Ovis aries: one gene and its partners. The protein of the gene in region 3 purifies or fractionates together with the protein of the main gene of each other region. This does not show direct contact. Links are inferred from orthologs where the notes say so. Each region holds a gene or a part of one and is shown on either strand. Other genes may lie near its edges.

Evidence for each region.
Region 1: the proteins of EFTUD2 (region 3) and CD2BP2 purify together in Homo sapiens (affinity purification with mass spectrometry; 7 studies listed by BioGRID and IntAct, counting the BioPlex papers as one, with this or other methods). This does not show direct contact. The link is inferred for Ovis aries from reciprocal best matches to the Homo sapiens genes EFTUD2 and CD2BP2.
Region 2: the proteins of EFTUD2 (region 3) and HNRNPU fractionate together in Homo sapiens (co-fractionation; 3 studies listed by BioGRID, with this or other methods). This does not show direct contact. The link is inferred for Ovis aries from reciprocal best matches to the Homo sapiens genes EFTUD2 and HNRNPU.

What each region holds. Positions count from the first base shown.
Region 1 is NC_056077.1:27,059,568-27,069,528, forward strand, and holds CD2BP2 (CD2 antigen cytoplasmic tail-binding protein 2), read right to left. Parts: upstream 6,151-9,961; 5' UTR 5,568-6,150; coding exon of another isoform or gene 4,947-5,567; exon of another isoform or gene 4,923-4,946; intron 4,650-4,922; exon of another isoform or gene 4,565-4,649; intron 4,000-4,564; exon of another isoform or gene 3,931-3,999; intron 3,376-3,930; 5' UTR 3,351-3,375; coding exon 3,276-3,350; intron 3,045-3,275; coding exon 2,906-3,044; intron 2,781-2,905; coding exon 2,623-2,780; intron 2,539-2,622; coding exon 2,103-2,538; intron 2,021-2,102; coding exon 1,914-2,020; intron 1,827-1,913; coding exon 1,716-1,826; 3' UTR 1,578-1,715; downstream 1-1,577. Other genes in the region: sesquipedalian-1-like, read left to right, coding at 4,947-5,567; TBC1D10B (TBC1 domain family member 10B), read right to left, coding at 6,571-7,206, 7,293-7,447, 7,738-7,927, 8,142-8,207, 8,324-8,438. UniProt on the Homo sapiens protein: Involved in pre-mRNA splicing as component of the U5 snRNP complex that is involved in spliceosome assembly.
Region 2 is NC_056065.1:31,684,462-31,694,358, forward strand, and holds the start of HNRNPU (heterogeneous nuclear ribonucleoprotein U), read left to right. Parts: upstream 1-3,747; 5' UTR 3,748-3,981; coding exon 3,982-4,672; intron 4,673-5,509; coding exon 5,510-5,621; intron 5,622-5,702; coding exon 5,703-5,776; intron 5,777-7,693; coding exon 7,694-7,833; intron 7,834-8,395; coding exon 8,396-8,495; intron 8,496-8,837; coding exon 8,838-8,950; intron 8,951-9,265; coding exon 9,266-9,529; intron 9,530-9,685; coding exon 9,686-9,805; intron 9,806-9,897. UniProt on the Homo sapiens protein: DNA- and RNA-binding protein involved in several cellular processes such as nuclear chromatin organization, telomere-length regulation, transcription, mRNA alternative splicing and stability, Xist-mediated transcriptional silencing and mitotic cell progression.
Region 3 is NC_056064.1:44,321,505-44,330,742, forward strand, and holds part of EFTUD2 (116 kDa U5 small nuclear ribonucleoprotein component), read right to left. Parts: coding exon 9,231-9,238; intron 8,750-9,230; coding exon 8,684-8,749; intron 7,900-8,683; coding exon 7,864-7,899; intron 5,163-7,863; coding exon 5,072-5,162; intron 4,039-5,071; coding exon 3,956-4,038; intron 1,946-3,955; coding exon 1,779-1,945; intron 47-1,778; coding exon 1-46. UniProt on the Homo sapiens protein: Required for pre-mRNA splicing as component of the spliceosome, including pre-catalytic, catalytic and post-catalytic spliceosomal complexes. Component of the U5 snRNP and the U4/U6-U5 tri-snRNP complex, a building block of the spliceosome.

The DNA.
Region 1 (9,961 bases), on a different chromosome or scaffold from region 3:
TGCAGGATATCTGGGGGAACTTCCCCTTGGCTTCCATCTATTCACCAAACACTACGCACCTCTGATGAGTCAGTCACTGGGGATATAAACATGAATACTGTATTTCATTGGTTCTAAAACATCTGTTTTTTCACTTTGGAACATATTTGAAATCAGGATGCAGCTTTGATTTGAGTCAATGACATCTTACAACTGCAACAAGCAGGGTTTTCTTTCTAACACATGAAGACATCTTACAACTGAAGGTATCTTGAAGTCAGTGAAATCCAGGTCTGGACAAAGCACTAGAGTAGGCTCCACTGCTATAGACATTATTATAGAAGGTAGCTGCCTCACTAGAGAATCAAGTATCCCCACCCAGCCCCTCCACCCTTTCCTGGTTCTCAGCCTGCCTCCTTCCGCCCCAGGATGCCCATTGCCCCATGGCTCTGCTGCTCAACTCTTGGCTAACTGACGCCACCAGAACCATAGCCACAGCCACGTTCAGCTCTAACACATGAACTGGTCCGTGAACCGGGCCCTCTCCCAGGTGTAACCTCGAGTTGGGCCCTGTGGTTTTCCACCTGGATGCACATGGGAAACACCTGGAAAACACTTGGGAGTTTTTCAAAGACCCAGGCCATCCCTAGACCAAATCATTCATAATGTCTGAGGAGTGAGGTCACAGTTCCCCATAGACTCCAACAGAGAGCCAGGTGGAGAACTAACTGGTGTGAGTAAGGAGAGGCCTGAGGCAGCACCAGTGGGAGGTGGAAAGTGTTAGGTCCAGACTACACAATGACACCTATCGGTCTTCCTCCCAATCCTCCCCAGACGCACTCTGAATGGAAAGGACCAGCCCAGTTCTTGCAGTTTCCTAACGGAACTAAACTGAGTCAAATATATTGTAGGAGCCCAGGAAATGTAAGCTGCACAGACTCCAAGGCCAGCCAGAAAAGGCCTGGTGCCAAGAAAGGCCTTCGAAGAGAGTCCACTGGGTCGGGGACGGTCCTGTGATTCACTGTGTAACCTCCAGCGAGACATTGCCCATCTCTGGGCCTGTGCAGACTGGCCCAGGTGGCCTTGAAAGTCCTTTAGGTGCCAACATTGAGTTTAGACTTTACCTCAGAGACCATTTCTATCTGCTTCTAAGAAGTCTGAGACAGCAGAGAGCGAGCCAGTAAGCATCAGCCTTTCTGCTCACTCCCAACAGATGTCTCAGCCCATCCAAGCCTCAAGATTCCACTTCTGGGGCTCTATCCTATATTGGTTACAAGGCAGAACATCTTAGGTCCTTGAAGCCAAAGACCTAAGAACAGCAAAATGGGAACCTTCAGGGGATTCTGGAGAACAGCATGTGAGTGGAGAGATATTTCAGCTGAGAACAAACTCCGGATTGGGAGGCCACAGGACACCTCACAGGCCCGGCCCTGCCCCAAGGAACGGGAAACAAAGGTGAGGTGGTTCGAGGGACCAGAGAGAAACTCCCAAGGAGGAAATTCACAAGAGGAAACGCTAAGGGCAAGAACAAGTCCAAAGGGACCTGGAAGAGGTTCCCAGCTCCACCTTCTGGCCATCAGCACAGCCAAGGCCCCTAATACACAACTAAAGGCTTTTATTGGGAAAAGGAAGTTGACTGAAAAGTGGCCCCCAACATTTTCACTGCCTGAGGCAGCCAGGGCCTCCTCCACAGAGTCCAGCAAAGAAGGGACCACCAAACTGGGCCCTCAGGAGGCTCAGGTGTAGAGGTCAAAGTCAATCCGTTTGGAGTTGTAGAACTGGCCACCCGGGGGGTCCAGCTTCCGGCAATAAACGCCATCTGGGAAGTAGCCTTCGTTCACCCAGGTCTGCAGGAAGAGAGGGCAGAGCTAGGAGAGGACTGATGGGGTGGGGGGAGGGAAAGAAGAGGCACAGCAAAGTAGAGAGAAGCTTACCTGCATCTGGGTGCTGGTGAAGGGCCCGTACAGCTCAGCATCCCCTGTGTTCTCCCACTTATATTCCCACATCACGTCCGCAAGACCATCTCCAGGTGACTCTGCTTCTAAAATAATAGGCCAAGTCATTTGGGCCTCCAGTGGCCTGCCCCCTGCCCACAACCCCCCTCCTCTGCCCTTCAACCTTACCTTCCCTCTGGGCAGGGGTTGGGGTCTCCAGCTCCCTCTCTGTCACTTCCTCAGCAAACATGTCCAGGGAGGGGGGCGGTGTGGGGTCACGGGGTCCCTGGGTCTGGCACGCCAACCCCTTCAGTCGCATGGCCAACCGTTCCCTTGTCTCCTGATACACTCCCAGGTTGCCCTGGGCCACCATCTGGTCAGCCAAGCCGGAGAGCCGGTCGAGGCGCTGGGGGGAACTGGGCCGCCCGGGCCCCTTGCTGCCTTCTTTGCTTCCCCCTCGGGCTCCCAGACGCCTCAGTGCCCCAGCCACTGTCTCTCTTGGCAACATCAGTTCCAGAAGGCCCTCCAGGAGGGCTTGGGTGCTCATTGGTGTCTGGCCCAGGCTGTCCTCCTCCTCTGAGTCTGATGGCGGCCGCTGATCAGGTGGCCGCTCCCTGATCTTTACCTGTAATGGGAAAACAGGAAGGTTTTATTTCTGACAAACTGCCAGCAAGGCCCAAGCCCAGCCATGCTAATCTCCGGGCCTCACCCAATCAATGTTATCCAGCCAGCTGTCTCGGATTTGAGCATCCCGGTTCAGGAAATAGTTGCCGTCTGCATCAAAGTGGCCTTCCTCCATCTCTTCCTGCAAGTTGAAGGGTGTGATCCGCACACCTCCCTCACTGGGGAGCGTGGCTGCTTCCTGACCTGTACCCAGACAGACACAAGAATCCCATGCTAGGCATGCAAGAGACAGGAGCCTCCCGTCCTCCACGGTCCCAGAGGTCCCTATTTGTTCCCCCAGCAAAAAGTCAATTCTTGGTACAGCTCACCTTCCACATCCTCTGAGGCCAAGATGTCATATTTGCTGGACCCTTCCTCCTCCTCCTCCTCCTCCTCATCGCTGTCCAAAGAGTGTTTGCCTTTGAAGCGGCTCCCGGGACCCCCTACCCCAGCTACAGGGTCCACCAACTGTGGGCAGGAGACAGAAGTTAAGAAAGAAGCAAGTTACTGGCTATGACCCCAAATACTCTAGGATCTACACTCAAACTGAAAATCTTGCAAAACCACATCTCAGAAATACGCGGAAAAGCTGACCCTTTCCATCCTTTCTTTGTCCCTCCAGATCTCTCATCTGGCTTCTAATTTATTTTTTTTCTCCCTTCACACCGCCACAGAACAGAGGAGTCTGGCCCCCCTCACCTTTTTCTTGGGGACACTGATTTCATCCTCGTCATCATCTCCCACGCCTTGGAAGGTCACTTTCCTCTTTGGCATGACTGGACAGAAGGGCTTTTCCAAACTGAGCAGAGGGAAAGGGTGCAGATTAAGGGAACTGGGTGAGGAGGCAACTCCCCGCGAGGGGGCCCCCTGCACAACAGATCTTTTACTTGGCGGGTACTAGATCCACTTTGGGAAGGGAGTACAGAATCAGGAGCCGAAAGGCGAGCTGGTAGTCCAGAACCCGCCCCTCCCCCCGCCCCTCCCGGGACTTGGCTTAGCATCTAAAAGAGCCGCTGGTGCGGAGACGCAAGAGCGGACGGGCGGAGGAGCTCCTACGGGCACCCCCACCCTTGACAAGAGGAGACGGGCTCCCCCACGTGACCACCCTTATTCCAGGCCCCAGCAGTGCTGGGCGCGATGTGCTTCGCGGGTAAACACCCGCTCCACCACCCCCAGCTTCCTCGGAACCCGAGGGGCCCCGGCAGACCCAGGACCTAGCGCCCTGGCAGCCCCGCTCCTCCCTGCGCCGAACTCCCAACTCCGCGGGGTGACTCCCAACTGTCTTGGGCTGTGTACAAATTAGAAAGGCGGCAGGGCCACGGGGACACCAGCAGTCCCGCCGGCACGCGCTCACCTAAGGATCCAGGAAAGGTGGGGGAAGAAAGGGAGAGAGGGTTTCACCAGGGCTACATCCGGGCCACCCGCCCGCCACCACCCGGAAGAGAACTGCGGAAGGCGGCGGGGAAAGCCGGAAGTGGCTTCACTCGGGTTAGATGAACAACTGAAGGAGCGGGCGGAAGTACGCGCCGCGCGGGGAGAGACGCCCCCTCCCAGAAGTGACGCGAGCCGTGTGGGGTGACTATGGTGAGAAGAGGGGACATTTGAACGCCTAGACCCTGATCGGACGAGGATGGCCGGAAGTGATCTCGGTTTCCTCCTACAACACTAGAGGCTCTGAGGAGAAAGGGGCGCCCAGGTTCACGATGGAGGAACAAAGTCCCAGCAGGGCCGGTGGGTTCCTGCCCTAGTTTTCTCTTTCCCGGGTTGTCTCCTTTTCCCCACGGCTGGTTCTGCGCCCTTCATCATCTCATTAGAAATCCTGCCTTCCTACTCTTGGCGTCCAGTTGTCCGCCCTTTGCTAGTCCGAGGTGTAGCCTTGCTGTTGTCCCAGAGGTTCTCCTGGGACTTTCCGAACCCAGCTCCTTTTAGGACCCAGGGGAAGTCTAAAATCAGCCGCCTCCTATCCCCTGGCCAAGTTCCTGGTTTCTGAGGTGGGAAGAGTCAAATAGGAGAGGTGGCAGTGGCACCTGTTCCCAGTACCGAGGCCTGAAGTCCCTTGTGCCCTCATCTCAGGTAGGCCTGGGAAAGGGCCGTAGTGGATATCCGCCAACCCCACCCCCAAACAGGACCCCAGCACTACAGTCCTGCCCAGGTTTTGTAATTTGGCCCAAGGGGCAGAGCTGAGGTTGGGAGGTGGGTGGAAGGTCCTTCTTGAAAACTCAAGTTTGAATCCCTCTAGACCAAGACCAAGACAGTGCCCAGAAAGAGCCTGCTGGAACCAGAGGAGGGCAGTGCTGGGGTACTCCGGATCACCAAATGCCCCACTCCTCCTTTCTCCACTCCTAGGGTTTCTTCCCACAGTGGGCTACCATGAAACTGCACCGAAAGTCCGTGCTCCGTTTCTTCCGTGGGTACAGAACACAGGCTCCAGACCGGGAGGGCATCCTGCTAAAGAAGGGGGCCCGAAATACCAGTTATCAGCGCCGCTGGTTCATCCTGCGAGGAAACCTCCTCTTCTACCTGGAACACCAGGCTGACCACACACCCCTGGGTCTCATCCTATTAGAGAACTGCCAGGTGGAGCCACGCCTTGGAGCCACAGAACCTTATGCCTTTACCATTCGGACTCCAGGGGGAGATGGTGGGCGGGCCTACAGGCTGGCAGCAGAAAACCGGGAGGAGCTGAGAGCCTGGCTGTGGGCGTTGGCCGGAGCCACCTGGACGCGGCTGGCTGAGCTGCTACGCCCCCTGGAGGCCCAGTACCGGGAGCTGTGCCAGGCAGCTGGCCAAGAGCCCGGCTCACCCCCAGAGGACTGTGGCTCCCCAGCCACCCCCAGGACCCTCTTCAGCTTCCAGGAGTTGCACGAGCACTTTGGAAAGGAGATCCGGATGCTGCAGGCTGTCCACAGACAGTTCCAGGAGGCCAGTGACAACGGAGGCAGCAGATCCCCAGCAGGTGGAGGTGAAGCAGGAACGCAACAACTGTGTTGATGAGTGACTAATAGACTAAAGACCCAAAGGTATCTGCCAAGTCCAGTCAACAGCTTCCAGAGACACCCAGATCCTTGCTAACTCATCACTCCCTCCCTCCTTGTCCTTACTTTAACCCCACTCATCAAATAACAAGGCAAAAGACAGGCCCAGGTACAACAGCAGGTTCTTTTCCGGTTCCTCAAAGCGGCCGAACAGGGTGGGGGCAGAGACAGAAGAACATGTAAACATTGGGTTCCACCCCCTGGGGCTCAGGGGAAGACCCTTACCCAGGAAGGGGCTGGAGGGTTGGAAGGGACAAAGTGAAAGGCAGGGGCCCTGGTCAGATAAAGCAGGGGAGGCCTGAGAATACAGAGAAAGGTGGGTGAAGAGGAAGGAGAGCAAGGAGGGTGGTGGTGGGAGGTGGGAGACATTTCCTGTTCCAGTGCGTGTCCCCTTAAATAAACTAGAGTGCAAGAACACTGAGGAGGGAGAACCAGAGAACAGAAGATGGAGTGAACACCCCCACCCGGGGCCCACCAGGTCCTCTGTACATAATTACAACACAGAGATGTCCAGAAGGAGAGCAAGAAGAGCCTGGGCCCCCAACCAGGAACTGGGGGAAGACAGGCAGGACTGAAGGGGGTAAAGGAACCCAGCTTCACTTCACGGGTAAGGGGAGTGACTGGAGTGTAAGAATCTGAAAACTGCTGACTCCCACTGCCACAGGTCACCCCTGCGGTGACCAAAGGCCAATCAGGAGAGTGGCACCTGGGAAGGGACCCCAGTTGGGCCGAGCTGGAGGTGAGGTGTCCACTGCTTCCCCAGGGAAATGCAGCTGCCCCCCGTTCTGACTGTCCTGGCCACGTGGGGATCAGCGGCTGGCACGGAGACGGGGAACAAGCCACTTTCCTCAAAAAGAGGGACAGCCTGCCAAGGGCGGGCTGGGAGCAGGACCCCAGGCTAGGTCTGCTCTTGGCTGAGGGAAAAGAGGGGGCCACGTAGTCCAGCCCCAGGGCAGAGGTCAGAAGTACGCATCCTGCCGGGCCTCTGATGCTGAGGACCTGTCCCCGCCGTCCTGGGGGGCAGGCGGTCCATCTGCCTTTCGATGGAGTGAGAGCTTCCTGCCCTGGGCCTTCTTCTCCTGCTTCTGCCGCTCCTTCTCCTGTTTCTGCTGCTCCTTCTCCTGCTTCTGCCGCTCCTTCTCCTGCTTCTCCCGTTCTTTTTCCTGTTTCTGCCGCTCCTTCTCGCGTTCCTTTTCCTGTTTCTGCCGCTCCTTCTCCTGCCTCCGGGCCTCCTTGCCGCTAGGGGCCAGAGGGGCGCTGTTGCCAGTAGGCGAAGGAAGGGATGGACGCAGTCCCTCGGCGGTGACCACGGGCCCTGGGGCAGGCCCCGCGCTGGCCCTGCGGACGGGAGGGGGTGGGGAGGGGACCCCTCCACCTGCCCGGGAGCCCCGGCTCTTGAGGCCAGGGAGGCTGAGGAGGCTGGAGGAGGGGCCCAGGGGGGGCAGCTGCCGCCGGCGCTCCTCGTGGATGGCCCGGGAACCGTGTAGTCTCCGTGAGGGCCGATACTGCAGCTCGCCCCGGGTTTCCAGCCACTTCTTGAGCTGGGCTGCGTTCTCTCGCTCAATCAGTGCTTCTGTCACTTGGAGGTTGGTCACCTAGATGGAGAAGACATGGGTACCAGGGTGAAGTGGGGTGGGGATCTACTGAAGCGGGTGTGAGGTACGCTAAGGCCAGGACCTACCTCGTGCACCAGGAAGTCCTCCTGCATGCACTGCTGAGGCAAGTTCCGCAGCTGCTCCATGGTCTCATACATGCCTTGGCAGGAGCGCAGCTTTTCCACCGAGCCCAGCGTGTGCCGCAGCAGCACCAGGGCCACCCGGAAGATGATCTTGACGCCTGCAGGCCCGAAGAGAAGAGGCCATGGGTGATCAGCCTGGGGGGTCTCAGCCTGGCCCGTGCAGGGGGTACTCACAGCCCCCATCCCTGTGTATTGTTGACCCGACAGATGAGGAAATGGAGGCCTTGAGAAGAAAATGAGCCACCATGGGTTTTAGGTTCCTGGGAGGCAAAGCAAGCTGTGGCTGGTGGCAGAGCCAGTAAGATCAAGTCTCAGTTTCTCCCGAGATGGATCTCAGCCACCATGGAAACCCCAGTCCCACTACTGGCCTACGTGGCTACAGAAGTACCTTCACAGAAGAACATATCCCAGACCCGGAGCACTGAAGCCCAGGGCAGGGTGCGGGCGAAGATGCACATGAACCACTCTGTCATGTAGAGCACGGGATCAATGCGCTGCCGTCGCAGGTGCCGATGTGCCAGTGGGGAGGCCCGGCGCAACAGGGCAAAGAAGATCTCTCCGTCCAGCTGAATGGCCTCCTGGAGATGGGATGAACCATGAGAGGCGCCCTGGCTGTGGGCCCCCTGGGGTGGGACTGGCGCTGGCAGTCGGATCCCATCCGTGAGGCGGGAGCCTCAGCTCAGTGGGAGGGCCCAGAGCAGCCAGCCAGAACGGCACAGGGTGAGGCTCAGCCCGCCCCGAAGTCCTAGGGACAAGCCGTAGCCCCAGGCGCACCAGCCTCCACACACTCACCAGCCCTGCGCTGTAGTAACCAGGGAGATACTTGTCGCAGATCTGCACCAGGCACCAGAAGGCTTGCTGAGAAAGACAAGAACAAGGAGGGAGGGGTGGGGCCAGAGGAACAGGGGGCAGGGAGCTCCCCCGTCACCCCTGCAGGCCCAGCCCCTCCCTGACTAGGTCCGGCGTCTGCTGACCTCAGCAGGCATGTGCATGAGCAACACCGCGGCCACGGGGGCCTGGGCCTGGCAGTAGCCCTCGTCGGGCCGGTAGATGGTGTAGGCCTTCAGGATTCGATACAGGTCCTGCTGCCTGTGGGCACGGGAAAGACCATAAGGGCAATCATAGTACTTGGGACTCCCTGCCCCTGAACAAACCCCGACCCCAACCCCACCCCAGACTCCCCCAGAGCTTGTGCAGGAGCAACCCCGGAGCTTTACCAGCACACACCTGATGTAGCTACCTTCCTACCTCCTGAGCTTAAGCCAAAGTCTCAGATCATCATGGAGGCTTTCTCCCAGGCTCCAGCCTTCCACCCTTGCTGCACACCCACGTGCTCCCTACCCATTCCCCACAGGCTCTGCTCTCCATCTGCCACCATCCCTAAACCCTCAAGGTCACCTTTTCCAGGAAGCTCTCCTCTGCAGCATCGGCCCTCCTCTGGCACTGTCTGCGTGCTTTAACCTCCCAGCAGGTGCTCTCCCAGGGCAGAGCCTGCCTTATCTGACTGGATTTCATCAGTTTCCCCCCAGGCCAGGGCCTTGGTTCTTTCGGAGTCCTGGGAAGCCAGCTGGGCCTCAGATTTTCCTCTTATCTCTGCATCCAGAAGAATACATGCTCTGCCCCAGATCTGTCCCTTTTGCTTGAGGGTGCTCCATAGCTGTATGAGGGAACTCCAACCCCTCAGCCCCCCATTAGAAAGCAGAGGGCCTGCCACCCCTCCCCACGGCTGGTCATCACATCATATCAACACTAAATTCTGAATTTCATTCGTGTCTAGGCCTTCTCTCCAGCTTCCCTGGTGGCGCAGAGGTTAAAGGGTCTGCCTGCAATGTGGGAGACCTGGGTTCGATCCCTGGGTCAGGAAGATCCCCTGGAGAAGGAAATGGCAACCCACTCCAGTATTCTTGCCTGGAGAATCCCATGGACAGAGGAGCTTGGTGGGCTACAGTCCACGGGTTGCAGAGTTGGACATGACTGAGTGAGGCGGCCTCTCTACCTCCACAGTTACTGAGCAGCTCAGCCCTTCATCTCTTAACCAGGGAAATGTTCATAACCTCCCAGATCTTCTCCCTGCCTCCAGTCACACACTCCTGACCACAGCTTACAACAGTGTTTCTCAAAATTCAGTCACTGAAGTGTGACCTTCATTTGTGCTTTATCTGCACACCGCCCCACTGTTATTTCTCTACTTTGTAATAACATCCATGAAATGACAGGTTTGATATACTAGTTATTTCACCTAATATGCATTAAATATGTAACTTCCACAAGCTCTCATGCTACTTTCACCCACCTGCCTGATTCTGTGCCTCTGCCTCCTCCCGCTGCTATGAGTGAACTATTTGTGAATCTGACCAACCACAGCCTTTCCAATGGGTCCCATCCCTTCTTGCCTACACAGGCCATCCTCCAGCAACCTTCCCATCACTTGGGTATCATCCATTTTTCTCTAACTACAGATGCTGGCAGCATACCAACATGTCATTTCCTCTAGCTTATAAAAAATAAAAAAGTCTATCTACCCAAATTTCCCCTCTGAATATCACACCATTTCTTTCCTGCCTGTTCAGGCAAACCCACCCAGAGTACAGATTTGCTATCCTCAGTTTCTT
Region 2 (9,897 bases), on a different chromosome or scaffold from region 3:
TTACCCAGAATTTGAAACATCCTCCCTTCCTACTGTGCATTTCTGTTAGTCTATATGAAAGTGTACTAATTCTTAGTAATTTGTAGGTACTTGTAACTTCTCACATTTTTGTAAGAAGATTGAAAAATGTATCACAGTGTGTTTCTTGCTTCTTTTATTAAATTGGCATTGATTTTCTATACAAAAAAAAAAAAAAAAAGACGTACATGAAATAGCATCTTGAGTCCACTGAATCTAGCATTCCTGCCAGTTCTTATCTCTTCACTAGTAACAACCCTTCAGTATCTTCCTTCTCACTGGAGGCAGAAGCCAAAGTCCTTACAAAACCACTGACAAGGCTGCTGGCAATCTGCACCTCCCCTCAACTCCCTGCCTATCTTCCCCCTCAGGACTACTTACTGTTCCCTCCACCTCTTTGAGATATTTACTCAAATGTTACCTTACTTCTTAGGCTCCCCAGACTACCCCATTTATAACTGAAAAACTCCCCCAACCCCAGCATACCTTGCCCCTGTCCTGTTTTACATTTCCCTGCCATACTTGTTACTTTCTCTATTTTAACTTATTGGCTAATCATCCCTAAGAGAATGAAGGCATAATTACATAGTTCACTGCTGTATTCCTAGTGCTTAAGAGAAGGTGCTAAAAAATATTTGCTGAGTGAACTTAATGACAAAGTATATCCAGGTATGTGCCTCTGTTTCAACTTCAAAATGTAAGCTACATATTCTGAGCACCCTAACTCTGTAATGCCCTGTCGTAGATCTATTACCTATGGGCAATTCACTAATTATTTTGTTTGTTTATTGTTGAAATTAATTTTCCCCCTCTTCCACTCTGTATTCTTGGTGGGCTCCAGGATTTCAAAAAGGGGGAATATCAAATTTTTGATAGATCCCTCAGCAATTGAGAGAAAGTGATCTGTACTTTAACTGGTCTCTGTAGAACAGAACTATCATGACAGCATTAAAAATATAAGAAGAAAAACTATTAGGAAAGTGAAGTCACTATTTGTATTTTCAAGTGGTAAAATAAAATATTGCTTGTAAAAAGGACAAACAGCAAGATGATGGCTCTTTGAGCATTTGTTGTTGTTGTCTAGTTGATAACTCGTGTCTGATTCTTTGCGACCCCGTCTACTGTAGCTCCCAAGCCCCTCTGTCTATGGGATTTCCCAGGCAAGAACACTGGAGTGGGTTGCCATTTCCTTCTCCAGGGGATCTTCCCAACCCAGGGACTGAACCCCTGTCTGCTGCATTGGCTGACTGGTTCTTTTTGAGCATTTATAAAAGGTTTTTCTGTTGAACGTTGTCTCGGAAAGCCCAGGGTAATGAAAGAAGCCTGGGGTGGGAGGAGGACCTGGGTTCTTGGGCCATGTAATGAGCAGACTGAGGATGATCTTTGTGATACAAAGCTCTTGACAAAGCCATAACAAAGCCATGACATTTTCTCATGCCCATCTAAAGTTATTCAGTTCAGTTTAGTCATTCAGTCGTGTCCGACTGTGTGTGACCCCATGGACTGCACACGCCAGGCCTCCCTGTCCATCACCAATTCCCAGAGTTTACCCAAACTCAAGTTGATTGAGTCAGTGATGCCATCCAGCCATCTCATCCTCTATCATCCCCTTCTCCTCCTGCCTTCAATCCTTCCCAGCATCAGGGTCTTTTCAAATGAGTCAGCTCTTCACATCAGGTGGCCAAAGTATTGGAGTTTCAGCTTCAACATTACTCCTTCCAATGAATATTCAGGACTGATCTCCTTTAGGATGGACTGGTTGGATCTCCTGGCAGTCCATGGGACTCTCAAGAGTCTTCTCCAACATCACAGTTCAAACGCATCAATTCTTCTGTGGTCAGCTTTCTTTATAATCCAACTCTCACATCCATACATGACTACTGGAAAAACCATAGCCTTGACTAGACGGACCTTTGTTGGCAAAGTAATGTCTCTGCTTTTTAATAAGCTGTCTAAGTTGGTCATAACTCTTCTTCCAAGGAGTATCTAAAGTTATATTTCATGTTTATTTTTACAATTGATTTAACATACCAAGAATAATTGTTATAAATTGATATTTAGGTATATAAACTTTATTTTCACAATTTAGTTTTCCCCGGTAAACAGAAATTGCTTTCATGTCTCTAACATTTAAATATGAAGTCATATCTAAGGACACATAAACTTAAATGATCACCATAATTACTATATTTAATTCTGATTCATTAGGGGACTAATTACTTATTTTGTGAACATGGAAGACCCCCTGCAATTCTTTTCCCATTTTGAACAAGGGCAACGAACTTGAAAAGTTCAAATTTCAGTTTGCTACTTGTTTGTAAGCTCTAAGGATATTATAACCAAAGGCTAAAATGAGTTTTTGGCAGGGTTTGGAAGTTCCTATTTTGGGTGCTATCCCTCTGCCTCCATCAGCTTGAACTGAGAATTACTAGTACTATACATAATCCATTAATTTCAACTCAAATCATTTCACAAATGTTAATATTTCATCTTCATCTATGACAGCACTGTAAAATACAAGATTCTTAAAAGCCATTGAAGAGAACTTAAAAAATAAAATTTATTAAACTGTACTATGGGAGAAAGTTAAGTGTGTATTTTTCTAAATTTTGAATTAAAATTGGGACAGCCTTGTGCCAGCTAAAGCACGAAGCAATATAGTTGAGCTTAGACTAGACTAGACCACTGGCTAGCCACTGTGCAGATTCTCTGGGGTTTGAGACATTCATGTCTATCACATATCTAAATTCTGGAAAACTGGAAGAACATTAACACACCTCTTAATTTAGTAAAAGGAAAAATTAAACTTCTAAGACACACCAAAATCACATTTTTCTTTGAGAGTGATATTTTTCTTTTCACAAAATCACAGCCTTTTTTTTTTTCATTAGCTTTTATTAGAGCTTTGGCATAATTTTGTCAAAAGTATATCCACAGGAATAGAATCAAAGTGTGTGACCTAGCTGGGGTCTTATCCTCATTGTTAGTTAAGGGGACTTCATAACTGCATGACCAGGTCCTAAATTGGACAGAATAAACCTTACAGGAGGTCTGTCTTCTTGGTAGATGTAAAGAAAACACAGAAATGCAATTCTGAGGCTAACTTCTTTGGCCATTAGTACCATAACAAGGCCTGTAAAGTCCGCTTTGCAGTATGGAGTGGAGGCCACTCTTCAAAAATAAGCATGATCTCCCAAACCCTGCATCAGAGGTCATGGGAGAGACAAAAGAAAGGCCCTTCCTGAGTCTAAAATTCAACTCCCAAGTTAGGATTCAGGAAAATTAAACCAATTATTAAGCAGAAGAAAATCTCCTGCGTATAATGACTGTCAGCTTGTACAAATCAAATCAAAATTTTAAGGGTTCTAAGCAAATAGCTGGAGAAACAGATAAGATAAATCTAAAATGGAAGAAGAGGTGGCGGATTCCAGCTGAAATTACCAAGTTGAAGATGAAAGCATTTGGGTAGAAGCAGCCTCCTGGCCGGAAGGCAAAGAACATAAACGAATATTGCCACCAAAGGGCTGGAAAGGCCAATAGAGGCTGCAGCGGGTCGGTTTAACTGAAGGCGGTTTCCACCTCCTCCATTAGCTGGGCCCCAATTGGAAGCGCAGTGCGCGGCGCCGCGCTCCCGGCCCGCCGCTCGGGCGGGGCGGGGTGGGGCGAGCGCGGGCGCTCTGCCGGCGCAGAGGCGGGGCGGCTATATTACGTGCGCGGTGCCGCCCCTGCGAGAGGACGTTGCGTGCTCGCTCGCGCCAGGCGAGTCTCCGCGTCTCCCTCGCGAACTCGGTGAAAGGAATTGGCGCCGTTCGACACCAGGCGGATCCGCTCTGCAGCACGAACCCACCTCCAGCCGCAGCCGCAGCCGCCGCCCGGGCCGAGGAGCAGCCGCAGCCGCCGCCAGTGGCCGAGTGAGCGGAGCCGAGTTTGAGCCAGCGCCTAGCGGTGAATCGGGGCCTCACCATGAGTTCCTCGCCTGTTAATGTGAAAAAGCTGAAGGTGTCGGAGCTGAAGGAGGAGCTCAAGAAGCGGCGCCTGTCCGACAAGGGCCTCAAGGCCGAGCTCATGGAGCGTCTCCAGGCCGCGCTGGACGACGAGGAGGCCGGGGGCCGCCCCGCCATGGAGCCCGGGAACGGCAGCCTAGACCTGGGCGGGGATTCCGCCGGGCGCTCGGGAGCAGGCCTCGAGCAGGAGGCCGCGGCCGGCGGCGACGACGACGAGGAGGAAGAGGAGGAGGAGGAGGAAGGGATCGCCGCCTTGGATGGCGACCAGATGGAGCTCGGCGAGGAGAACGGCGCCGCGGGGGCGGCCGACTCGGGCCCGATGGAGGAGGAAGAGGCCGCCTCGGAGGACGAGAACGGCGACGACCAGGGCTTCCAGGAAGGGGAGGATGAGCTCGGCGAAGAGGAGGAAGGCGCGGGCGACGAGAACGGGCACGGGGAGCAGCAGCCTCAACCGCCGGCGGCGCCGCAGCAACAACCCCAGCAGCAGCGCGGGGCCGCCAAGGAGGCCGCGGGGAAGAGCAGCGGCCCCACGTCGCTGTTCGCGGTGACGGTGGCGCCGCCCGGGGCGAGGCAGGGCCAGCAGCAGGCGGGAGGTAAGAAGAAGGCGGAAGGCGGCGGAGGCGGCGGTCGCCCCGGGGCTCCGGCGGCGGGTGAGTGCTGCGTGGTTGGTTGCGCGCGGCGGGAGGCCCGCGCGGGGTGGGGACCGTGCCCAGGCCTGCCGGAGCCCCGCAGGGGGGGAGGGAGGAAACCCGCCGCGGGAGGGAGCACCCTCGGGGGCTGGGGACTGCTGGAGGGGGGCGGGCGGGGCGCGGGGAATCCCGGGTTAGGCGTGAGGCCTCGGCTCGGTGTGTGACGGCGGTGGCGGCGCCTCCATTATGTGCCTGGAGAGCCGGGGTGGGGAGGGGGGAGGCTGCAGCTGCCGCTGGAGGGGGAGGAGCCGCGGAGGCGCCGTCGCGCTGCGTGCGCGCGGTGCGGGCACATGTCTCGGGGGGAGGGGAGGCCCGGGGCCCCGGCGGCGCGCCGTGGCGGCTCCGGGCCGCGGTATTGTGCAAGGCGCGCCGGGCTCGGGTGACGTCACTTCCGGCGGGCGGGGCGGGGTCGGGCGGCGCCCGCGGCGAGCAGTACAATGCGGCCGCGGGGAGCGCGGGCCCGGCTGGGGGGAGGGGAGGGCGAGCGGGGCGCTTCGGCCCCTCCCCCTTTCCTGAACACTCTCTGGGGTACACGTGGGCTCCGGGCCTGGGCCGCGCTAAATTTTCATGTGCTTTCTGGAATATTCGAGTGAACTGGCAAAATTAGCAATGTCCTTAGACTGCGTCACTGAATCCAAGCCGATTCCAAGGAGATTGTTGTTTGAATTCGCAGTTGAGTCGTTGATTGAAATCACAATGTACAAGTCGAGTTTTAGGGAACCTCCGACAAGAAAGGGGTTTTCTGCTTGTTGTGGCGGCGTGCCGTGGTGTCTTATACAGCGGTGTCATGTGTTGTAGGAGACGGCAAAACAGAACAGAAAGGCGGAGATAAAAAGAGAGGTGTTAAAAGACCTCGAGAAGATCATGGCCGTGGCTATTTTGAGTACATTGAAGAGAACAAGTATAGCAGGTAGAGATGCTAACCTAGTTTTGGCACCTGTTCATTATTCTTTGGGGAAGGTTGTATCAGGAGACAATTCTGTCTTTTCAGAGCCAAATCTCCTCAGCCACCTGTTGAAGAAGAAGATGAACACTTCGACGACACAGTGGTTTGTCTTGATACTTGTAAGTGAAGCTGTTTCTTCCCCGTTCCTCCCTTAGTTATCAAATATGGTTTTTGGTTACAAAATGTTAGAAAACTTAATGCGTATAAAGGGTTCTTTTAAAATTGGAAAGATGGTGGCTTTTATTCAGATTCTGGTCACTTAATTTAGTCCAGCAGTTATATTGATAGTTTTAGAGGCTCCAGCAATTTGATAATTTTTTGGTATGATATTAAAATTCTCATTTGTAGGAATGTGAAATGAATGCCAATATTTGACTGTGTAGCTAATGGAAACTTGTAAGACTACCTATAATTTCTCCCTGTAGGGTCTACAGTAAAAGTAATGTGGTTTTTTTTTTTTTTTTTGTGGAATTATGTTAAGTGAGCTACTTGGGCTAGTTAAGTATTTATTAATGACTTTCCCATTAGCACATCACTATATTCCCTATTCTGAAAGATTGTAATATTACTTTCTCAATAACTGCTCTTTTGTTCTCAATTCCAGTTCAGTAGCTGCTGCTTTAACCTAAGTTGGTTTCTTCCAAAGACCTGGGGCAGCAGCAGTGGGCTATCACTGGGCCACTAGCTTTCTTCAGCAGCGAATGGTATCAATGGCAGCGCTGTAAATACTGCTACTTTACCCAGTTGGGTTGCAATTGAGTATGAGGAAGTATTGCAAACCTCTAAATGGGCCTTGGCAGTCAGATTCCTCATTTTTCTCACATACAAAATCATTGATTTAGTATTTTGATCAGAAAGTACAATTTTGTGATAAACAGAAAAAAGGGTAGAAATAATTGCCTAGAGGTAAGGTGTCATCCTGTCCTGTAGATCTAAGGAGTTGAATCTTAGATTCTCCTGTTTTGGAATACCTATTTTATTTAGATGTGTATGGTAGTGTAAATGTAAGTCTCTTTACTACATACTGTTTACATATAGTCAATGTAGTGGAATCTTTTATTTTGAACTGTATATGGAAGAGTAGTTGAATGTTTTATGTTTAGTTGCTTATAGTTGGCGAGCTATGAAGCAGTGGTTTAGGAAGATAATGCTGTTATAAAAGGCTTTTTAGCTCATCAAGGGATACCAGTTTAAGTGCATTATTGGGTTCAAGTATAATTTGTTGAACATTGTATCAGAAATGTAAAGAGCAAAGCTTATGTAAGGAATTCCAGACTGTAGGTTTAATTTCATCTCTCCAGTAAAACTTAGGAAACTAGCTTTCTTAATTTAGTGTTGCTTCCACTGAGAACTCAGAAGGTGCATGCTAATGAGCCAGTGACCCAAAGGTAGCTAGGTTAAAGTCGTTTTGGATTTGGATTACTCCAAAGTGTGTAATCCCCCATACTTATTAACAGGCATATCTGGGGAAAGGGGACCTAAAATGCTGTAGTAGTAACAGCATTGATGACCAGGTTTGTATTGTATAGACTGAGATTGCCTTCTTAACAAGTTTTAGCAAAGAGTTTAAGATCTAGAACCCCTGTAAAGTGAGGATCAACAGCTCATACTCTTTACTTTAAAATACTTGGTCATGGCCTCCCTTCAGTTTTATTGTGGCACTGGTAAATTCTACCTGGTCTGGCATGCTTCACTTTGATTTCCTGCTATCCTCTACTGCTTGCCTCTAAATCAAGGTAAAGAGCAGAGCAGGTATGTATAAATGTCACATTGTCTTGATTATTTTATATACTTAAAGTACGCATATGCTAAACCTTTATATTTGTTAGCTGCATAGGTAGTGTACGCTTCAGTTCATGATTTGGCAAGAATGACTTGGTGGGAGTGGGGTTTAAACTGAAAATTAGAACAGCATCTGTAAAAATGTAGTATGCAGCATTCAGAAATATGTGAAAATTTAATAACAGCTTTGTCTACATGGCAGATGTTTATAGTGGATATCAAAAGAAATAATATGGCATTTGATATAATTGCAGATAATTGTGATCTACATTTTAAAATATCAAGAGATCGCCTCAGTGCTTCTTCCCTTACCATGGAGAGTTTTGCTTTTCTTTGGGCTGGAGGAAGGGCATCTTATGGTGTGTCAAAAGGCAAAGTCTGTTTTGAGATGAAGGTAAAAGTAGTTTTGTGATGTTCTTTTTTTCTTAAGCTTCGTGAGGTTTTTGCCTGTTATCAGATATCAGTGGAACTTCTATTTTTTTCAAGTTTCTGTGGGTTACAAGAGGGACTAACCCTGTGTTTTATAGTAGTTGAAGATGTTTGTTATATTAGAAGTTGCCATGTAGATAGAGCCAGCATAATTTTTATTTAGGGTGTTCATTTTTTTATCAGGCAGTTGAAAGGCCCACCAAAGGTTTGAAAAAATTTGGTTAGGCTCCAGTTTTTGTTCTGAGGAAAACATGTTAAAGAATAAAGTTTAGTTGGTTTTGAAGCATTGAGAATATATAATTTCAACATTTTCTTTTAAATGTGACTCAACCAAGTAAATTTTCAGCTTCAAGTTATAAGCCCTTAATTTTTGAATTTCTTAAAAATGTTTGGGGGAGCGTAAAGTTGGTGTGTCTCTGTACTTAGTAGCTGAAGAAGAATTAGCCCATTGCCCAAATGAAATAAACTAGGGTTGATTAAGTGGTTTATTTTCCTTGGTTCACAGTTTGTTTATCTTTGACTTTCAGGTTACAGAGAAGATCCCAGTGAGGCATTTATATACGAAAGATATTGACATACATGAAGTTCGGATTGGGTGGTCACTAACCACAAGTGGAATGTTGCTCGGTAAAGTTTCCATTTGAGTATCTTGGTACTCATGAGTGTTTAGTGTTTGATTTCAGTAGTTAGCAGGCATTCTAAACTTTTTGCCTGTTTTTTAGAGATGATAGTAACATGAGCATAGGCTAAATTTTGGCTTTTCTTTCTTTATAGTTAATTGGTTTGTGGCTGATGGTTCAAATAGAATGTTGTCATGTCATGCAGTTTGTCAACTAGTTAAATAACCACCTAGCTTTTTATATCTAGTATAAAGTCAGTATAGTATACTCTTAAACCCTACATCTTGAAAAAATAATGGGTCGGTTTATTCTGGAGAGTTGATTTAATGAAAGTTAATTATTTTCTTAGGCGAAGAAGAATTTTCTTATGGATATTCTCTAAAAGGAATAAAAACATGCAACTGTGAGACTGAAGATTATGGAGAGAAGTTTGATGAAAATGATGTGATTACATGTTTTGCTGTAAGTCACAGCTAAATTTGTATGTAAATGGCAAGTTATTAGACAAGATTATTTTAAAGTTATATCAATATCAACTTTCAATTACTGATTGATTTTGACTGAAAACTTAATATGAAGTTGATCCCCAAATCTAGTCTTTTTGGATAGTATTAATTTCTGTTTGTGGACATAGGTGTTTTAATTGTTCACACCAAGCTATTTAAACATATAACCTAAATATCCACAGGATACGCTTTACTCCTAGGTTGGTTTTTTTTTTAAGAAGTGTTACAAGAAGCATATTAAAACCCATTAATTTTTCTCTCCAATTAACAGAACTTTGAAAGTGATGAAGTAGAACTCTCTTACGCAAAGAATGGACAAGATCTTGGCATTGCCTTCAAAATCAGTAAGGAAGTTCTTGCTGGACGACCACTCTTCCCACATGTTCTGTGCCACAACTGTGCAGTTGAATTTAATTTTGGTCAGAAGGAAAAGCCATATTTTCCAATACCTGAAGACTATACTTTTATCCAGAATGTCCCCTTGGAGGATCGAGTTAGAGGACCAAAGGGGCCTGAAGAGAAGAAAGATTGCGAAGTAAGTCACTAGAAAAAAAATTTTTTGAAGCTTGGCTAAAGTTCTGTTTAATTTACTGCTATACTTGTTCCCATTAAAAGGCTGTGGAAGTTCAAATGTGTAAACTGGGCTTTTGTGTATTTAAAAAAAATATTTAAACAGTTCTTTCCATTGTAGGTGGTTATGATGATTGGCTTGCCAGGAGCTGGAAAAACTACCTGGGTTACTAAACATGCAGCAGAAAATCCTGGTAAATACAACATTCTTGGAACAAACACCATAATGGATAAAATGATGGTAAGTAAAATGGGCTTGATTTCAGCATTTTTAAAAGACTAGAAGGTATTCTAGGTAATACTTTTGTTTTTATCCATTTTGTTTAGTATTTT
Region 3 (9,238 bases):
GCCCAGGAGCGGGGAAAGGATCAGGTTCTCGTCCGTGGAGTACATGCTGGAAGAGAGATGACCCTGAGTGTGTGGCTGGGCTGGGCTGCATGTGGGCCCGAGGCGAAGGGTGAAGGGCAGCACTCGGTATCATAGCCTTTCTCCAGTGGCTGCACGCAGAAAGGGTTTGCATAACACACACAGCTTCGCCAACAGCCAGCTCCAAGAAAGTGACATGATGGAGCTGTTCCCTAACTCCCAGTAACAAGATGATTTTCCAGAGCTGGAAACACACTGCATGATCCTGGAGAAGTTAACTGCACCAGACAAAGAGAAACTTGGAGGACAAACACCTCAGAACACAGGAAATGAAACTACTTTGATAAAACAGGAGTACATTCGAGAAATCTCAATTTCACAAACAGAAATACCAGTATAAGTAAATGAATGAATGAATGAAAAAAAAGCAACTTTGCTCCCCATTCTCATATGGTCTTGTCTGGCTTTGCTTTACAAACTCACGTTAAAACATTTAGTCTTAAAAGTCATACAGAAGCCACAGTACCCCCAAGTTCACTAGCATTTATAAGAAAACCAGAGCACATAGGAATCAACCCAAGCCTTCCTGACACACTGCTTTATGGAATTTCTTAATCTAGAAATACAAGTACAGGCTTCTAAAGAGCACTCCCCTACCACACTCCCAAGTTATGCTCCCCAGAGGCAAGTGTTTTCAACTTCTTTAAAAGCTGCTTCTAGAGCATTTACCTCCATATTTCTAAACAATATATTTATGGTGATATTTCTTGTCTGGCGCTTGAGATGTGACTTCTTGACTTCCTAACTTCCTATTCTAGTAGATCACGATTCAGCCCTACACGACCCCTGCCCTGTCTTCAGAGAAGTAGATCATTTCATCTTTTGGATTCTGGCTGTAACACTGGGCTCCGGTCATTCTTAGCCTCTCCAGTGTCAGGGAGAAGATACCCCTGTTGAGAACCAGCACTGCAAACTGGGGGTGTTCCTAAAGGTGAACTTGTCCCGGGCCACGAGGGGTCTGTCCTGGATCCTCGGGTGGAGAGGAGTTTTCTCAGCTGGACAGGCTCCTCCCAAGCCCTGCAGGCGGCCTCAAGAAGTTATCCGTACATCTTTCCACTATAGGTTAAACTGTCCTTAAGAAATATTTAACCTATTCTTCAAAGCCACCATGATTCCAAGGTCTCCCAACCATCATTCATACTTATTAACCTAAACCCCAAATCCATCTTGTTGAAAAGCAGCTCCGTAAGAAACAAAAGCCAAGAGTTCCTTCTCTTACTGAGTCTGTGCTAATAAGATAACAGCAGCTGACATTATTCACCCATAAGCTATTATCACTGAGCACTGTGCTAAGTATGTTATATCGGCTATCTACTTAATTTCTTGTAACATCTCATTAGGCAAATACTATTATTCTTTTTTTATGGAAGCAGAAACTGAGGCTCTAAGAGGTTAAGGAACCTTTCCAACTTTACATGGTTGGCTGGTGAAGATGAGACTGACTCTAGAGCTCAGGGAAGTGACTGCAGTAATAAACTGAGGATCTGCAGCCAGTTGCCTATCTGGTTAAGGAGCAGAGTTAATGAGGCCAAGGCTAGGGAGTCAGTCCCTGTAGAGTCACAGAATGTTCCTCCAGCTGTGTCCAACAAGCTCATCAATGCATGCCAAGAGCTCAGAGTTGCCCCCAGAGGTGTTCAAGGTTAAGATTTATAAAAACCAGAGTGCCGGGGACAGGAGGTTTACTTCGGGGGCTCCTCTACCTTATTAACCCGTTGACCTCATCGACAATGTGACGCAGCTTATAGTAAGCATCCGTGGGTGGCAGCTTCAGCTCCAGGATCAGCCGGTCAATCTTGTTGATGCACACGGTGACTGCCAGCCTCTCCTGCACCGCGTGCTTGATCAGCCGCTCTGTGTTCAGCATCACCTGAGACACAGAAGCTGGGGATGAGTGCAAAGAGGGCAGAACAGGCCCGCACAGAGTCAAAGAAAGTTCTAGTTTAAAATATGAAAAAAATAAAAATAAAAATAAAATATGAAGGATGTGGAAGAGAGGAAACAGATTATGAGGGGGAAGCAGAGGGTATCTTATTCTACAGCAGAGTCGGAAATTTTAAGAGGTGACCTGGTAGGGTTGAGAAATGAATAAATCCACTGATGATTTTGGGGAGCCAAGTTTCTCAGTGCCAGAGAAGGAACCGAGAAAGGCTTAGGAAGCTGTGGTGCGGAAACAGAATTGTGGGTATCAGGGAAATTCCCTGATGGTTCAGTGGTTGGGACTCGGTGCTTTCACTTAGTGGGCCCAGGTTCAATCACTGGTCCGGGAATTAAGAACTAAGATCCTACAAGCCTCGAGGTTCAAACAAAACAAACAAAAAAGAATTGTGGGTATTAAGATACATTGATTTTTTCTTTTACTACATTAATGTTATTTATTTATTTATTTATTTATTTTTTTTTTTGGTTTATAAAAATAACTTTATTTCAGGGTGTCAAGTTTAAATAACTGTGTATTATGATGGTCAGCTACATATAAGATACATATTCTTTCAAGTTTAAAGTACCTCTCCTAAAAATTAGGCCAATGGTTGATTCCTTATTTTAGTTCAACTGGAATAAAACCTAACAGGAGTATTTTCCGGTAAAATACAAAAACTATTAGTCACTCAGTCATGTCCAACTCTTTGTGACCCCATGAACTGCAGACCTCCAGGCTCCTCTCTGTTCATGGGATTCTCTAGGCAAGAATACTGGAGTGGGTTGCCATTCCCTTCTCCAGGGTAATGTTTTTTAATATGTATGTATAGAAACAGTTATGTATGGGTGTATATTATCTGTGTTCAGTGAGAAATTTTAGAAGTAATGTACCCCAGTAGCCATGAACATACTCTGGAAGACAACTGACAAAATCAACGGCCTATATTCTCCAAAAATGCCAATGTCATAAAAGACCAAGAAAGCTAAAAGAACCATTCCTATTGGGATTTCCCTGGTGGTCCAGTGGCTAAGACTCTGAGCTCCCAGTGCAGGGACCCGGGTTCAATTCCTGGTCAGGGAACTAGATCCCACATGCCACAGTGAAGATTGAAGATCCTGTGTGCCATAACCCAGAAGAAGCCAAATAAATAAACAAATAATAAAATAAAATTAAAAAAAAAAAAAAAAGAACCGTTCCTATTAAAGACACATGAAAATTCAATGTTATGCATCATCCTGGATTAGGAAAAAAAATTCTATAAAGGACATTTATTGGGACTGACTAAGGTCTACAGGAAAATTTCTGTACAACAATTGTATCAATGTTAAGTTCCCTGATTTTGTTAAGCCTATTATGGTTACATAAGTGATGTCCTTGTTCTTAGGAAATATATTCTGAAATATTTCCTTTTCATATGGTACGAAGGGGAAACACATACACATGTGAGTGCGTACGTACATGTACAGAGAGAGAATTACAAATGAGGGCGAGTTGCTCTGTGTTACTGCAACTTTTCAGCAAGTTTGAAATTATTCCAAAACAAAGTCAATTTTAAAAAAGGGCAACTCTGGCTCCCTCTGCTGGCTATCTCACTGATGACAACGTGAATGAGGTTAAGTCAAATGACCACATCTTTCTATTTAGAAATATAAAAGACACCCTAGATCTTTTAACTTCAAACTCTTTAGCTTAGACAAACTCTTAACATTTCAAACTCTCCTCCCTCTCTTATTTACCTTTGCATTTCTGTGATCATTTTGTGCCTCACTGGGTAGGGAGTGAGGGTCTCATGAGAACTAATTTTGACTTTCATTTGCTGCCTTCATTTTTACAGCAAACGTGAACCTTAATCCCACAGACTCTCACGTTCTCTAGCTCCCAGCTCACTCAGAGCTCTGGGCATCATGCGGGGCAAACGTAACAGGGAGGAGGGGTCTAAGAGAACAGAAGCGGACTCACGCCCTCAGCAGCATCAATGAAAAGGACCACTCCATCTGAGATGCGCAAGCCCGCTGTGACCTCATCAGAAAAATTCACGTGTCCTGGAAAACAAATACCAAGTATGTCACAATTTGTGTGGTGGCAGGATGAGGCACAAATAACTTGTACATGGTTGGCGGCGGGGTGGGGTTTCAAAGCACACAAACCCACGAATATTCTCTTTCCCTTCTCCCCACAGCTCCCTGCAGGGTATAAAATTCCACATGAGAGTCACTAAAAGCTTGGATTAAGTTTTTATCCAGGAGACCCTCAAACACAAAAGAAGCGTTTCACCAAGGAGGGCATAAGGCATTCATACTCAGACTATACCAGTCTCAGCAGTGAGTAGAGTTCTGTGAGACAGAAGACAACTTGGAGGCAGGAAAAAGGGCAAAGGAGGGCCTGCAGCACAGCAGCGGGCTGCTGGGTGCAGGCTGGGAGTCAGAGGCTGAGGGGTATGAGGGCAACGGGCATCTGATGGGGCAAAGAAGGCCAATCTGTCAAAACCCAAATTTTCCTATTTAAAAAAGGAAAAGCCTTGGACTTCCCTGGTGGTCCAGTGGTTAAGACTCTACCTTCTAATGCAGGGAGTGTGGGTTCAATCCCTGGTAGGGGAACTAAGGTCCTACATGCTGTGGACAAAAATTAAAAAACAAAAACCAAACAGGAAAACCCTGAGCTGGGCCTTTCCAAAGAGAAAGTCAACCACAGGGCAACGTATGGTAACCTGCAAGTCGCCCAGCCATTGGTGTGTGCTCCCCCAGTCTCTTTCAAAAGATTGAAAGACTGAGACGGCCTGAGCCCAGGACCATGTGTGACTCAGCTTTGCTGCCCCAATGAATACAGGACTATAAGATTCCCCCAAATTTAAATCTTGTAAAGCAGAGTCAACAGAGGAACAAAACAGAAGGTCTAGAGCAGAGTGCTTGCTAATTAACTCATTAGATGCAAAAGAGACAGTTAAAAAAAGAAGATTATCTCAACAAAGGCGAGGAAATGTGAAAACAAAGATGCAACGCTCTGTTCTGGGAAGTGTGGGACCAGGAGAAACAAGCTGGGCAAGGTTCTGAAGGTAAAAGGTCAGGGATATCCTACCTGGAGTGTCCATGATGTTGAAGAGGTAGGATTTCCCCTTGGTATCTGGCAAGACCACTGTCACAGGAGTGCTTTTGATGCCAACACCCCTCTGAAAGGCACAGAGAAAGAGGGCAAGAGTGATCAAGGCCTCTTCCTATGCCAGAGGGCTTCATGATGCTCCTGGGTCTTTCCAGTTGCTAGTAAATTATCCTGATGTCTTTCCTTGCAATGGGTGTGATGACCTTAAAGATGAACTATCTGGGTGTTACACAGCTTTGGGGGAGGGGCAGCGGGCGGGGAGGAGTTGGTTCAAATACAAAAAGCTAAAAATAAATGAACAAGCTAGCAAAGCAGTAAATAAGTGTTAGTCTGCCGGGAGCCAGCCTGAGGAATCCCACCCGTGACAAGGTCATGTGGCAGAGACCTCATGTGCAAGGTCGAGTCAGATCTCAGGTTTTCCCCCTGGTATTTCCTGAGCATGTACCCCAAAAAATAAGAATATGCCTGCCTTATTGTACTATACTTTTCCACTCTCCTGACACACTCTGGGAAAAGTCACCTCAAGGCTTTTAGTCTTCTGCATTTGAAAGGGTGTTTCAATTCAAAAACCCCCTCTGATGGCTTTTTAGCCTGCCTGCAGGACTCGTACATCTGCACATGAGATTGTTTGAGGCCTCCTGACTGCGGGAGGCACAGGAAGCTTAAAACATCCTAGGAATATAGGGGCTTCCGAGGAGTCAAAATCATTAGAATAGGACTGATGAAAGGTTTCATTTATTGAGCCAATACTTGCTGCCAAATTTTTATATCTTTTATTTTTAGATATAGTTGGTATATAGAAAAACAGGTAGTAGACCTGGTATTAGCAACATTAGGTCTTTGAGTTAAGTACTTTCTTTGTTATAACCCACTGCACCTTTGTTCTACAGGAACATAACTTTATTTAGTACTTTGAGGGTGATGCAAAGTAAAGAAAAAACACTTCTAGGGAAAAGGAGTTTTCTGGTTGATAGACAATTATCCAGGAAGAGAGCCATAAAAATGTTAACAAGCCTCTTGGCCAGAAGATAATGTAAACCACCTGAGACCTTTTGTATGGGGGGGGGTGTATGCAAAAAGAAAGCCTTGTCTCAATGAGGGTCAGGACTGCTGCCCCTGCATAACTCTGTATATTCCATTATGTACAACTTGGGGTATATAAGCTGATTTTGAAAAATAGTTTTTGGAGTCTTGCACTGATGCTGGGCATGTCATTCTTTTCTCCCTTTTTCGGCTGAATTTCCATCTGGGGCGTGGAGGCTCACCATGTTTACTTACTTGTCCCGGCTTCTAAGATCCATGAGAGAGAGAGCCCAAGGCGGGGCACTCTCTGATATCCAAACAGACGCCGGTGGCCTAACATAGACAGTGCAAGTTCCTTGTCTGGAACTTGATTGGCTTTCCAAGTAAACCAACTTATTCAGCCTCTTTTCTCCACCTAAATTCCCTACTATACTATTTCTTCCTAATCTAACCTTATATCTCTAAATAAATAAGTTTTTCTCGCCTATCCGTCTCCCCTTCGAATTTCCCTGGATCCACCGGGGCTGGACCCCGGCATTAGTCGCTCAGTTGTTTCTGACTGCCACTCCATAGACTATAGCCCGCCAGGCTCCTCTGTCCATGGGATTCTCCAGGCCAAGAATACTGGAGTGAGCAGCCATTCCCTTCTCCAGGGGATCTTCTGACCCAGGGTCTTCTGCATTGTAGGCAGATTCTTTATTGTCTGAGCCACCAGGGAAGTCCAGCAAAACAGTATTAAACTTTAGGAGAGAATCTAGAGGCCTAAAATCTTACCCTCCTCATACAGTGTAAACAAAAATAATTAAGCACCATATAAGTGAAAAGAAACAATCTGGGGTATTTTAGGTTTTTAAATATATACATATATGAGAAAAGGAAATAGTAACCCACTCCAGTATTCTTGCCTGGAAAATCCCATGGACAGAAGGGGCTGGTGGGCTACAGTCCGTAGGGTCGCAAAGAGTTGGACACAACTGAGTGACTAAACCAAACCATCTATGTATATAATATATATATAATAAAAGCTGTAACAGAAAGTACTAAAACAACTTCAGTCACACAAATATATAAATATATTCATATACATAAAAACAACAGCTAATATCTGTTGAGTGTTTAACATATGCCAGGACTGTTTAAAGCTCCTTTGGCTAATCATACTTATACTCACTGTGCTTTCCATGTGGTCATTTAACAGAGATAGAAATAAGAGACAGGGAAACAAAAGGGGTTGGAGTGGATGGACAAAGATCCAGGTGCAAAGAAAGCCCAACCAGGTGGAATGGCAAAGACCAAGATGTATATTCACTCCTTTAATCAGAAAAAAAAGCACAAAGACAGACGAACTCATTCACCAAGAGAAGCTACTCCCAGAGATCAACATATGGACGGAGTCATCTTACAGCAGATTTTTAAGGATGATGTCATTTGAAACATCCTGTTTAGCTTCTGTAAAACTTACAGCATAAATGTTCTCAACACCTCCTGGCACTTGCCCTATTAAGCTAAATTATATCCAGCCAAGCATACGAAGCTCCCCCTTGTACCGGACAGTTTGCCTACCCAGCTCTCTTTCAAGTTACTGACCTTGGGATGACTAGGAGAAGCAGGGAGATAAAGAGGTGAGGGATGGGAGTGAGAGAGGGGGCAGTGGTATGGACCAAACCGTTATCATAAAGGCTCCTCTACACTCGCTACAGAACTACTACTGCTGTGAACAACAATCAGATTTCCAAAGGCACACTTACCTCTTGTTCTGTGAAGAGGATGTCAGTGTAGCACAGCTAAAAATAAAAATAATAAAGAACTGTGGTTACCATCTGAATTCAGACTCCTCTCCCACACAAACCATCAATCACTTTCCCTCACCACCTCCCTGGCTCCAGAGTCTCTCCCTCAGGAGAAGAGATGGAAGACAACAGGGTGTCCCTACAGACATTTTAGACAATGAGACTGGCGCCCTGCCAGATAGAAAATGCTCCTTCCTGGATGTGTGTTTTCTTGGGGAGTGGGGAAAGTCACTAAAGACCAGGTATGGCTGGAGAGCTAAATTATATCAAATGCACTGAATTCTTCGCAGTGGTACATGGAGACATAGCTGGCCTTCGTGGACCCTGCACGTCAAAACAGTCAATCTGGTGGAGACTGAACATTTATTGCACTGAGACTTGCAGCCACACTTGGCCTTATTCACAGGCATTTGAATTTATCATGAAAGCAACAAGGTCCAATTGTATTATATTTATAGAGTAGGCTATTAATACTATGACAGGAAAGAATAGGCCACAAAAGTCAGGATATATCAGAACAGAGGAGCGATCCCAAGTGAAGAACAGATCACCCCAAAATACTGCAGGTTAACATTCTCTCTGTTCCTGAGAAAGCTGAAATCATTTTAAAGGCTATTCATAGAAATTACAATTATAAAGCAGCACATTATAAGGCACACAATCCTAAGGCATCATTATTTATAATGAGTGGCAAGGGAAGGAAGGGGAAGGAGAGAGACACCCACCCCTGTATATTCTGAATGGTTCATCCTAAACCCTGAACAGGATTTCTACTTACATCTTGGTCATAGCGCTTTCTGATTTCCGGGTGAGTCTGCTCTATTAAACAATCTACAAAACATGTCTGAAAGAGAAGAGAAAGTTATGCTCTACCACCCACCAGGGAAAATCTATTCTACCCTTCCCCAGTACACCGTATAGTTTAGGAATAAAGAGAGGAAGAGGAGAGCAGGGAGGATTATGGCACAGCAAAGGATCAACAATAAAGCCACAGGATTATTTTCAAATGAAAGATGAAATCTTTCTTAGACAAGCTTCCCCCAGGAAATAAAAACTTATAAAATCAAAATCAAAGTAAGGCTCAACTTCCCCTCTTCTGTCCAGATGTAGACACGAGGCTCAGGCATGCCAGTGGCTTAGCTTTCCATCTGCTGCTCAGAAAAAGCTGGAATTTCACAGCTCAGTTTCACAATAGGCATGGAGGCCCCCAGAGTCAGGAGGTCCAGCCTTCAGGCCTCAGACCCCAACATGTGACTCCGAGGGCTAAAAAAAAATGAGCAGAAATGAACAGCAACCCTGTTCCAAGTAGTCAAAAGCTCACTTGCCTTGCCAT